3 linked regions of the Drosophila melanogaster genome follow. The protein of the gene in region 3 purifies or fractionates together with the protein of the main gene of each other region. This does not show direct contact. Each region holds a gene or a part of one and is shown on either strand. Other genes may lie near its edges.

Region 1 (3,754 bases), on a different chromosome or scaffold from region 3:
CAATTTATGACAGGTTGTAAATTTCCACGGAAACTTACTGCAACTCATGAACCAGATGACCAGTGATGCGAGAGCCACTGGCACCCAGAGGATGGCCCAAGGCGATGGCGCCTCCGTTCACATTCAGTTTGGAGGTATCCAACTTCAGGGCATCGGCGCAAGCCAATGTCTGGGCAGCAAAGGCTTCGTTGATCTCAATCAGATCAATATCCTCCAGTTTCTTGCCGGAAACCTTCAGGACGTTCTGAATGGCGGGTACTGGGCCAATGCCCATGATCTCAGGCTTGACTCCGACAAAGGAGAAGGCCACTAGACGGGCCAGAGGCTTCAGGTTGTACTCCTTAAGCGCCTCCTCGGAGGCCACGATCACTGCGGAGGCACCATCACAGATTCCGGATGCTGTTCCGGCAGTCACAACGCCGTTCTTCTTAAACAGCGAAGGCAGCTTGTTCAGACCCTCGATGGTGGTCTTGGGACGTGGGTGCTCGTCCACCACAAAGTCCACTTCCTTTCCCTTGACCTTAAGTTTGATGGGTGTGATCTCGGCATTGAATGCTCCCTCCTTCTGACCCTTCTCCCAGTTCTTTTGCGAGAGCAGAGAGAACTCATCCACACGCTCCCTACTGATCTTGTACTGATCGGCCAGGTTCTCAGCGGTCAGAGCCATGGGCAGCTTGCAGTAGGTATCGGTGAGGCCAGCCCATAGAGCATCCTCCAGATTGTAGCTGGCACCCAAGGTGGTTCCGAATCTCACATTACGGGCAATGAAAGGGCTCTGTGACATGTTCTCCACGCCGCCGGTAAGGGCTATCTTGGCACCGCCGACCAGGATGTCCTGGGCTCCGTTTACGATCGACTGGAAGCCGGAACCGCAAAGCCGGTTGATTCCAAGGGCGGGCTTCTCGATGGGCACACCGCAGTTGAGACCCACATGACGGGGCACATAAATACCATCGGTGGAGGAGGACTGCGAAGTGGAAGAGAAGAGATTTTTAAGACTTACAAGTTACAAAAAAACATAATATAAGCATGTAGTTCCAGTTTTTGATCTACTGAGTTTGCAATTAAGCAATAATAACAAATAAATATCGAGTAAATTAATTTACATAACCAGATGTACAAGTATTTTATCACATTTACATATTTCTTTTAGTTTAATAACATCTTAATATTGTTTTAATCCGACGCCTTAAGAGTTTCTATTTTAGGATCTTCAATCCAACTTACCGCGATCACATTTCCCACGATGACGGTGTCCACTTGCTCACCCTTAAGACCGGCAGCATCCAGGGCAGCCTTGGCCGCCGTGGTTTGCAATTGGGTCTGGTTGATGCCCTTCAAGGATCCACCGAAGGTTCCGAAGGCCGTACGCTTGGCAGCCACAATATAGATACCTTTACAAAGGAGAAGAAACATACGAACATATGTATAACATATATAATGTGCGTAGTGATAGCACAAATTTAGCTCGAACGAAGGCGGATTTTTGTTTTCGATTCAACAGGTCCAAAGTGCAACCGGCTGGACGCGGGGGGGGGGGATAGCATCAGATAAGACACCAACGAGTCCAAAGTTCAGATCTCTCTAGCGAGATCATCTCTTATCTAGACTTCCAACAGCATAGGCATATCCTAAAGGATTCACATAATTACCTTTGGTTGCGGCAGACATTTTCTAAGGTGGGTTCACTCTTAAATAAAACAACAAATAAATTAATGCAAGTAAAGGCGACTATCGCACTGCAATAACTTTCGACTTCTGGTCGCGATTCGCCGCCATCGCCGACATATTATTGGATGAAAGCTCGAAAAGCTTTACCCCGCTCTCTGACAAACAAAGTGAGACAAGCCCACCGATTACAGCTGTAGAATACACTGTGCAAAATTAGCTGCAGTTTGTTCCTTCCTTTGTTCTTAGTGACGATTAGTCACCATCGCTGAATTTCGATTTTTGATGAAACTCAATCAATCCTCTAGTTTTTAAATACAAGTCTCTTTAATGCGTTCTTAATGTATATTTATCAAAGCAATTTTGCATACTTAAGTACTCCTTACAAAATGTTGATCATACAATGTTTTAAAGTTGGTCTTCATTAGAAAGTTTTTTATTAATTTAACTTGCATTTGTATTGGGTTTTCCTAATAAGAAGACAATAAGATTGTTATAGTTTCCAAATAAACAATCCGTACTTGGCAAAAAATTAAAAAAAATTGTACTGCTATGATACCGATATCATTCATATTTGTATGTACTATTTTTTTCATTACGAAAGAAAATGCTTCAGTTTTAATTAGACTTTATACTTGAAAACTATGACAGAGTTGAGTGAAATACAAATCTCATTGAGGACAATGGGTGTCGGGTTGTACTGGAGACGGGGTTGCTTAAGTTCTGTATTTATTATAAAGTAGTATGCAATCTCTCTAGGTCTAGGGCGAGTTGGAGATGTCCATGTTGTCCGACTTCTCGACACTAACCGATTTGCGTGACTTCGAATCGGCGCTGGATCGTGAGCTCTTAACCTCAGTGTCCTCAGAGATGGATTTGAGTTTGCGAGTTTCGGGAGTACGGGAGCGGTCGCGCCGCCGGGATGACTTGGCGGAAACGATGACCGGATCCTTGCTGCGACTGGACCGTGACTTACTGCCGGTAGCTGGCGGCGGCGAGGGAGAGCTGCGCTTGCTTCTAGATCGGGGAGAACGTGAAGAGTGCTTCTCGCTGCGGTGTGACTTCTTGCTGCGCTCGCGGGATCGGGAACGTTTGCCGTTGCCACTGCCTCCTCCACCGGTGCCATGGGAACGCGAGCTACGTGAGCGTGAGGTGCTGCGGCGATGGCGGGACCTGGAGCGCTTGCCACGCGACCTTGAGGAGCGAGAGTGCTTGCCGCCACGGGAGCGTGATCTCCTGGAACGTGAGGAGCTGCGACGGTGTCGTGATCTTGAGCGCTTGCTGCGAGAACGGGACGAGTGCTTGCCACGCGACCTAGAGCGGCGTGATCGGGACACACTACGTCGCTCTCTGGAACCGGAACGCCTGGAACGGCGTCTCGATGTGGAACGATGCGAGCGGGATCGACTGGTGCGACGGTCCCGGGAACGGGACCGTGATCTCGACCTGCGGCGCTTGTCCTTAGCGAGCATTCCAATTACCGGATCAATGGCCGCTGAGATCATACTCTGCGCCTCTTTCACAATGGTCATGGCCTCCTCAATCTCAGCCTGCGCTGCCTCATTCGACTTTGCCTCCGGCTTGGTTATGGAATACGTGGAGTGGTAGACGCTTAGATGGCCACCCTTGAACTCCTGGCCCTGCATGCGCAGGGCGTGAATAATGCTGGTCTGTTCGCAGAACTCAATCATGCAGTACGTCTTGTTATCCTTCTCGGCCCAACGGGCATACTTCACCTCCCCAGCGCGCTGAAAGCATTCCATCAGATCGTCTAGCCGCCACTCGTTCTTAACATCGCACACGATAATGGTGCGCCGAATCTCCTCGATTTTGCGCGCATCGTAGAACGAGGGTAAGGCCGGGTACTCCGGCAGATTGAATTCCACCAACTTGGGGTCGTACGTCTTGATCACTTGCTGCGGCAGCTGTCCCTCGATGCGGTTAATGACTTCGGGCGGTAGCTTGGAGTCCGGCTTCTGGAGTCCCGGCACAATGGTTCCGTTCTTGAGCATCTCCAGGGCCCGATACTCCTCGGGTATGGCCAGAACGGGTATGACAATTAGGGCGCGATCGATGAACACCGTGT
Region 2 (3,706 bases), on a different chromosome or scaffold from region 3:
CCTTCGGAACGCAACAGGTGATGCAACCTGGCTGCGAACACATCGAGGAAAAGCTGACCTTGTATCTGGACAACAAGCCAGTGCAACTGCCTGAGCTGCAGGCGCTGGTGTTCCTAAATATCGACTCATGGGGAGCTGGCTGCAAGCTCTGCGAGCTAAGCAACGCCAATGGTGAAGTGCGCATTGTAAACTCCATCTCCGATGGTATGATGGAGGTGTTCGGCATTGTTTCCTCTTTCCACATTGCCCAACTGCAGTGCAATATAAGCAAACCAGTGCGAATTGGCCAAGCCAAGCAAATAAGGGTAAGCCCTGCAGTGATGGAACCGAATATTTGTTAACCAACAATCTTTTTTTTAGCTACAAGTCAAGGAGACCGTGCCAATGCAGGCGGATGGCGAACCCTGGATGCAGAGTCCAGCGGATATTCGCCTCTCCTCGCGTAGTCAGGCCCGCGTCCTCAAGCTGGCTGCAACCTGAACATTAATAGCTAATACAGAATAGAATCCCTTATGTGCCAGTCCCTAATCTCAAAGTACTTAACCTGGAACCTCAATGTATACTTAATCGAATTCGGTTAGCAAGGCAAGTAAAGACACCCACACCACCTAGTGGAAAACCGAAACTAGTCGAAAAATACACGCAATCGTATTTGATTTGAAATAAATCCATTTTTATTAAGACGCAATCTTTTGAAATATAATTAAATGTTCGACTGGTGTAACATGCTGCCCCTTGAGGGGCATGCACAACATTTGGGTCAGTATTATCGAAAGGCGGGTAAACAACAAAATCAGGAGTGCAGCTAACGCTGAAGCCCGCTCTAAAGCATAGTAAGCTCCATGATGGCGTTGACGATGTCATTGTTGTTGTTCTTCAGAGCCTTGATCGCCTTGGCCCTCGTCGTGTTGGCCTGCGTGATGACCAGCTCGATATCCTTCTCATCCACGCCGGTGTCATCGACATCCTCCTCGTCTTCCTCGGCAATGGGGGCCACCGATGTGGTGGCGCCCACGCTGTCTGCAGCGCCAGCAGCCTCCGGGGCCTTGAACTTCTCGGCGGCAGCCACCTGGGCCTGTTGCGACAGATCCTCGATCTTGGCCTCACCGAACACGATGTAGGTGTCGCTGTGGGGGTTCTTGTACACATCTGGGTTGTTGATCACGAACAGGATGTTCTTCGACTTCCTGATCGTCACCCGGTTGACGCCCTGGATCTGCTTAAGTCCCAGCTTCAGCATGATCTTCCTGGCCTTTTTCTCGCCGCGCGATTGCTTGGCCTTTGAGACGAGGTCGATGGGCAGACCGGTGGCACCTCCACCCAGCTGTGTGGTGGCCGCTACAGCCTCCTCCAGACCAGGCATGCCACCATCGGAGTCGCTATCACTGCCATCATCCTCAACGCGGACGTCCTCGGGTTTCGCCTCAGCGGAGGTGGAGGGCGCAGCCTCGCTCTTGATTTCGGTCAGTTCGGGCATTTTAATCTGTGGGGAAGCAAGTGGAGAACACGAGGTTAGGTAATTGCTTTGCAAATAGTATCAATTATGCTAAGGGAAAACATCTGGTGCCGGTTCAAAGGCTCAGCGATGTGTCTCAGCGGGGGTCAGTTGGTATTGATTTTTCAAGTTCAATTGGAAAATCAATAATTCGCTACCCCCGTAGATCTAACTCTTAACTATGATATTTTACATAATTTAAGGCGCTAATTCACTGATATTTCGGCAAAAGTTAAATTGAAGTCGAAAAATGCGGAGTACACACACCTACCGGAAACGAAGAAAAGAAATATGGCGGAGGGGAGTGTGACTGTCGCTTAGCACGATTTTTCTTAAATCCAAGCGATATATTCTGTCAGTGTGAACGTATGCGTATGAAGTATGACAAATTCAAACTTTGTGGCTACTCTATTTCATAATTACGTTACTTTCAAAAAAATGACAGTTTCAAAATACATTTTTAATCTTTCACCTCTATAGTAAAGCACTATGACTAAAAATTTATAATTTAATTTGACTATCAAGGCTTGCTGAAATAATCGAACTATAAACAATTATGGGAGTAGCTTAAAAAGCAATAATATCCCAAGAAACTAGTTCTTTTTCGTAATTATTCAAAGCAAGTGTTAAATATTTTTTCAAAGGTGTAGTTCACTGTTTGGGTCACCTTTGCTTGCAATCTTCTACTAACGTAATATTTTAGTTTTTGATAATGCAGTTATAATTTTACATAAAAGAAAAACATTAAAAACAAATTGATAACACCGCAACATTTTAAGTGGCTTACTCAAAGGGAAGGAAAGGAACATCACAGATTAGGCTCAGTGGCATGATTAATTTCTGCAGTGACTAGCAATAACTGCACTGCTTAAATAGTAAAATTAAACGAATGAATGGTTTCACAATCGAATGTTTGACGGCTTTTCTTCCCCACCCAGTCTGTCACTTGAAGATGACGATCTTCAGTTTGCCAGTGCATTCTACAAACGCTTCTCGAAGTGCTCCTTCACGTGCAGACGCCTGGAGGAGTATTTAATTAATTGAACATGCCTGATAAGGCGAGTGCCTCCACACTCGGTGCATGATTTCACTTACAAATTTGACTCCGCTGACTTTGTTAGAGGAAGTTCACCGAGAAAAATTTGATACCAGTTTATTGTCATTTATACTAGTATTTGTAAAGGTAACTTGGATATTCGATATAAGTTTTTACATGAACTTAAGAAATTGATAATATTAGTTAAATTTTAATTAGGTTATTTGCATATACTCTGGTCTTTCGAAAACAATACAACATAAAAAATTAGGTCATGTTTCGGGATAAGTTTATTTGGCCAAGTTGAAATATCTTAAATCTTTTTTATAATTACTTTAATTAAATTTTCTTGTGTATCAACCATCTTTAGACACGTCTGGTTCGAAAGACAAAGTCCAGAGCTACTTTGTGGTAGGTTGGATGGGCGATTAGATCAAAGGAGACACACGCCAGATGACTGATCCCCTATCGCCATTAGATAACGTTCCGTTTGAGTGGCCACTCCTGGAGCTAATAAAAAGCACGACTGTGAAGGGACTCCTCACAGTGAACGCTGTAACGTTCAAGACACCAAACCTCCGAAATGAAACTACCAATCCTTCTGATAACCCTTGTGGCCATGGTGGCGGCCAAGTCCGCACCTGGTCGCATGGCCGCCCGGTACGACCACTTCCGTATCTATCAGCTGACCATTGAGACGAACTTGCAGATGGAGGAGCTTAAGAAGATTCACGAACACATCTCTGTAAGTACATACAAATTCCATTCCATTTCTGAAAATCATATATGTATGTCTTGACTTGATCCAATTTAAAGGTGCACTTCCTCAACGAACTGGGTGCTGTTGGAAACAAATACAATGTGATCGTTGGTCCCTTGTTCCACAGAGCCCTCGAGAAGACCCTTAAATTCCTCGAAATTGTTTACGAAGTGATTGTCGACGATCTGCAGAAGTGAGTACTAGATTCTCAGATGAGTTATAACATTACAAAAATCTACACTTGAATCCTCGCAGATTGATAGATGAATCCTCTGTTGGCGACGATTCCCAGATGGAATGGGAGACCTACCACACTCTGGACACCATTTACGATTGGATCGATCAGGAGTGTGCTGCCCACGATTTCCTGGAGTGCAAGGTGATTGGACAGTCCTACGAGGGTCGCGACATCAAG
Region 3 (3,357 bases):
ACAGACACACGCAAGGGACCGGTGACCTGGAAAAGGATGCCACTGAGGACGGAATACCGCTGCTACAGTGTCCACACTGCGATCGCACGTACCAGATGAAGTCGCGCCTGAACAATCATATTCGCGATGTGCACATTAACGGCGACCGCAAGCGCAAGGAGGCAATTAAGCGCTTCCTCTGCTCCCTGTGCGGAATGGAGACGAGATCAGCCGCCGCTCTTGTGACCCATATGCGACGCCACACTGGCGAGAAGCCCTTCAAGTGCGATCTGTGCGAAATGGCCTTTCCCCGCCACTCAGAGCTGGCCTCGCACCGCCGGATGCACACCGGCGAGAAGCCATTCCACTGCACCGTCTGTGGCAAGGACTTTGCCCGCTCCGATAAGCTCAAGCGCCATATGCTTACGCACAGCGGCCTAAAGCCGCACAAATGCACCTACTGCGAGAAGAGTTACCGTCAGGCCAAGGACCTGAAGCTTCATCTCCAGCAGCACACCGGCGAATGTCCTTTCGTGTGCGGCACCTGTGGCGAGCGCTTCATCCAGAGCAGCACGCTGGAGAAGCATCGGTTGATGCGGCGTCACTTCGACGAGGTGGAAGCGTGGCTGAGACGCCAAAAGTAAGGGGCTCTTGCAATAAATACAATTTGGTCTAGTATAAAAGGAATGACATTATTATTTATTGGTCGTGGCGTGGCATCACTTCAGAAACAAGACAAATTACTACTTTAAATATTTGAGCATTAAATGTTTATGACTTTAGTTGAAAGTAAACTTTGGGTGTAGCATGGAATGCCTATTTGTGGCCCTATTCGCTTTACAGCTCTTCAGATCCAGAGCGCGGTTCGATTTTTACCAACTCCGTATCGAAGACGAGCACCGCATTGGGGGGAATCTTTCCGCCACCCGCTCCACTGGCTCCGTATCCCAGCTCAGGCGGAATCGTCAGCTTTCGCTGCTCACCCTCACACATACCAAGGATTCCCTGATCCCAGCCCTTGATCACCTGCCGAGCTCCCAGGGTAAAGGAGAAGGGAGTGCCGCGGGAGTAGCTGCTATCGAACTCTGTTCCATCCTGCAGTGCTCCCTAGAATGATTCCAAATTCGGGGTTAGGTCGGCTAGAGATCTTCCTTATCTGATTTCCCTTACTCTGTAGTGCACGTGGACGAGATCGCCGCCCTTGGCCTTCCGGGTGCAGTTCTCCACCCGCTTCTTAATGCCAATCTTCACTTTCGGATCGCTGGCAGCGGAGGCGGCCACAAAAGCGCAGATTAACAAAATATAAGTTAACTTCATCTTATCGAAAGCCAGTATCAAAAAACACTCGCGGTTTAGTGTGACCAGAGATCTACAATAATTTAACTTGTTCCCACTGCACACATAAAACCAAATAAATATAACAACTCAAATAGTTTTCAACGAAATTAAGAGATTAAAACTTGTTTTTTTTTTTTAACTTTGAAAAAATTAGTAACCAAAAGAAATTTTATGTAAATAAGAGAAAGATCAGAAGTGCAGTAGTATCGGTTCATAGTTAAAACCCAATCAAAAAAGGTCTCACTTAAATGCGAAGCCCGCGAAATTTAAAACTTCAAAAACCACTGCTGGACATATTTTTTCTTGTAATTTACAATAATATGAGTATAGTACAGCTCGGACTTAAAAATAACTTACGTACATTAAAGCTCATTTAAAATAGATACACACATTGTTTGATTACATATTTGACTTTCTTAAAACAAGGAGAGCTCCAAATAATGATCATTTGCTCCGGATTATATGGCCCCGAAGCGCGTGACAGTGCAAAAACAAAAATTGACATTATAAATATGCAACAGATTATCAGGAGATATACGAATGTACGATTATATCACAATAATAAAGGAATACATACAATTTAAATGATATTTAAAGCCCGACATACAACGAAGCCTACGCTTAATTAGGTGCCAACATTCAAGCATAATACTAATTTACACTAATATTTCGTATAAAACATAGCTACTATTATTACAAAGGGTCCCATTGATCAGTGCTGTAAGGGTGAAAGGTGAACTCAATCGCAAATTCGGTTTCCACTCGATGGGCTCTGCCGCTAACACTGCCATCTGGCTTTCAGTTGTCATTGGACAGATTTGTGATCTTGGCCGCATACATGCTGGCCACCTTGTAGATAAATTCATACTGCTCCTTGGTCTGTACGGCGCTGGCACGTCCGCGTCGCACGTAGTAAACCAGTTGGGGGATGTCCACGGACCGCTTCGGTGTTTCCAGACTGCGGATGGCCATGTCCGACGCTATAATGGTACCGGTTCGTCCCGTGCCTGGAGAACAGTGAACGGTTAGCGGTCTGCAGGGGGAGAGATGAAGAAGTTAAGACACAGAACATTAAAAAGCCATGCAACACACAACAACTGCTTTGATATGAATGGATGGAGATTATGTCAACCTACCCCTGCTGACTTCGTGTTCCGCTTCGACTTGAGATGTTTCCATTAATCTCGTGGCTGGACGTGCTGCCCGCCTCGGCTTTGCTGCCGTCCGCATCCATTGACGTCTCCAGGGTCGCGGACTTCTCGCGCAGCTCGTTGGCCTGCTCAAGGGAGTAGGACTTCAGCGAGGATCGCGCTTCCAGCAGCATGGCGATGATGGGCGCCTCCTCGGCCGGTACACCCGCCTCAGGCCATTTGTACCAGTAGTGGGTGAGCTCACGGCTCTCCTCGCCATCCACTCGCTTCAGAACCAATGTGGAAATGGCATAGCGATCCTTGACTTCGCGATGCTTGAGGGTCACCTGGTAATCGCCATAGCTGCTATGATTGTCCAGAGTCGCCGACGGTGGCAGGTACTCGGCGCACCTCTCAATTCCGTTCTCACTGAGATCCGTCGCCTGGATGATCACCCGCGACTGCTGTTCCCAGATCATGCGCCAGAAATCGCTGGTCGTGCTCTCCAGCGGCGCCTGGCAGGCTATGTAGTAGTTGGGTGCATCCCTCGGGCCCTGAAGTGATTAAAAAAGGTATCAAAATGATGTCTTTCCATTGGATAGCATACTAGTATTATTTGAATTTGAAGCTATCTAGCGTTTTTCGGCAAAAAGACGACGCGAGGTTGAGTAATGACATAACCATCAATTAAAACCGATTGCGGCTTAACTCTACCCCTGCCCACACAATGACTGGCGATCAGCTACGCGCGCCTCTCAGATAAACGATACCATAAAATCGCACAACAGACCTCTGCTGCTTGAATCTCGACATGCTTAGGTTATCGCCAGGTGCAATGCCGATGAGCGCTCGAAATGATTCGCATGAATGCGCTGCACTGCATCGTCCACGTCGCGCTTGAATGCAGTTG

The links.
Region 1: the proteins of CG14715 (region 3) and yip2 purify together in Drosophila melanogaster (affinity purification with mass spectrometry, with the first as the bait; one large-scale study listed by BioGRID). This does not show direct contact.
Region 2: the proteins of CG14715 (region 3) and Nacalpha purify together in Drosophila melanogaster (affinity purification with mass spectrometry, with the first as the bait; one large-scale study listed by BioGRID). This does not show direct contact.

What each region holds. Positions count from the first base shown.
Region 1 is NT_033779.5:9,913,265-9,917,018, reverse strand, and holds the start of yip2 (yippee interacting protein 2), read right to left. Parts: upstream 1,767-3,754; 5' UTR 1,672-1,766; coding exon 1,653-1,671; intron 1,395-1,652; coding exon 1,228-1,394; intron 968-1,227; coding exon 39-967; intron 1-38. Other genes in the region: Srp54 (splicing regulatory protein 54), read right to left, coding at 2,430-3,754.
Region 2 is NT_033778.4:12,759,039-12,762,744, forward strand, and holds Nacalpha (nascent polypeptide associated complex protein alpha subunit), read right to left. Parts: upstream 1,962-3,706; 5' UTR 1,767-1,961; exon of another isoform or gene 1,763-1,766; intron 1,755-1,762; exon of another isoform or gene 1,689-1,754; intron 1,487-1,688; exon of another isoform or gene 1,484-1,486; 5' UTR 1,478-1,483; coding exon 824-1,477; 3' UTR 655-823; downstream 1-654. Other genes in the region: Dgkepsilon (diacyl glycerol kinase epsilon), read left to right, coding at 1-305, 361-480; CG12374 (uncharacterized protein), read left to right, coding at 3,115-3,276, 3,348-3,484, 3,547-3,706. UniProt on the Drosophila melanogaster protein: May promote appropriate targeting of ribosome-nascent polypeptide complexes. Required for correct localization of the osk/oskar protein to the posterior pole during embryonic development.
Region 3 is NT_033777.3:11,672,221-11,675,577, reverse strand, and holds CG14715 (uncharacterized protein), read right to left. Parts: upstream 1,358-3,357; 5' UTR 1,297-1,357; coding exon 1,150-1,296; intron 1,087-1,149; coding exon 817-1,086; 3' UTR 655-816; downstream 1-654. Other genes in the region: CG18476 (uncharacterized protein), read left to right, coding at 1-623; CG42327 (uncharacterized protein), read right to left, coding at 2,116-2,350, 2,454-3,001.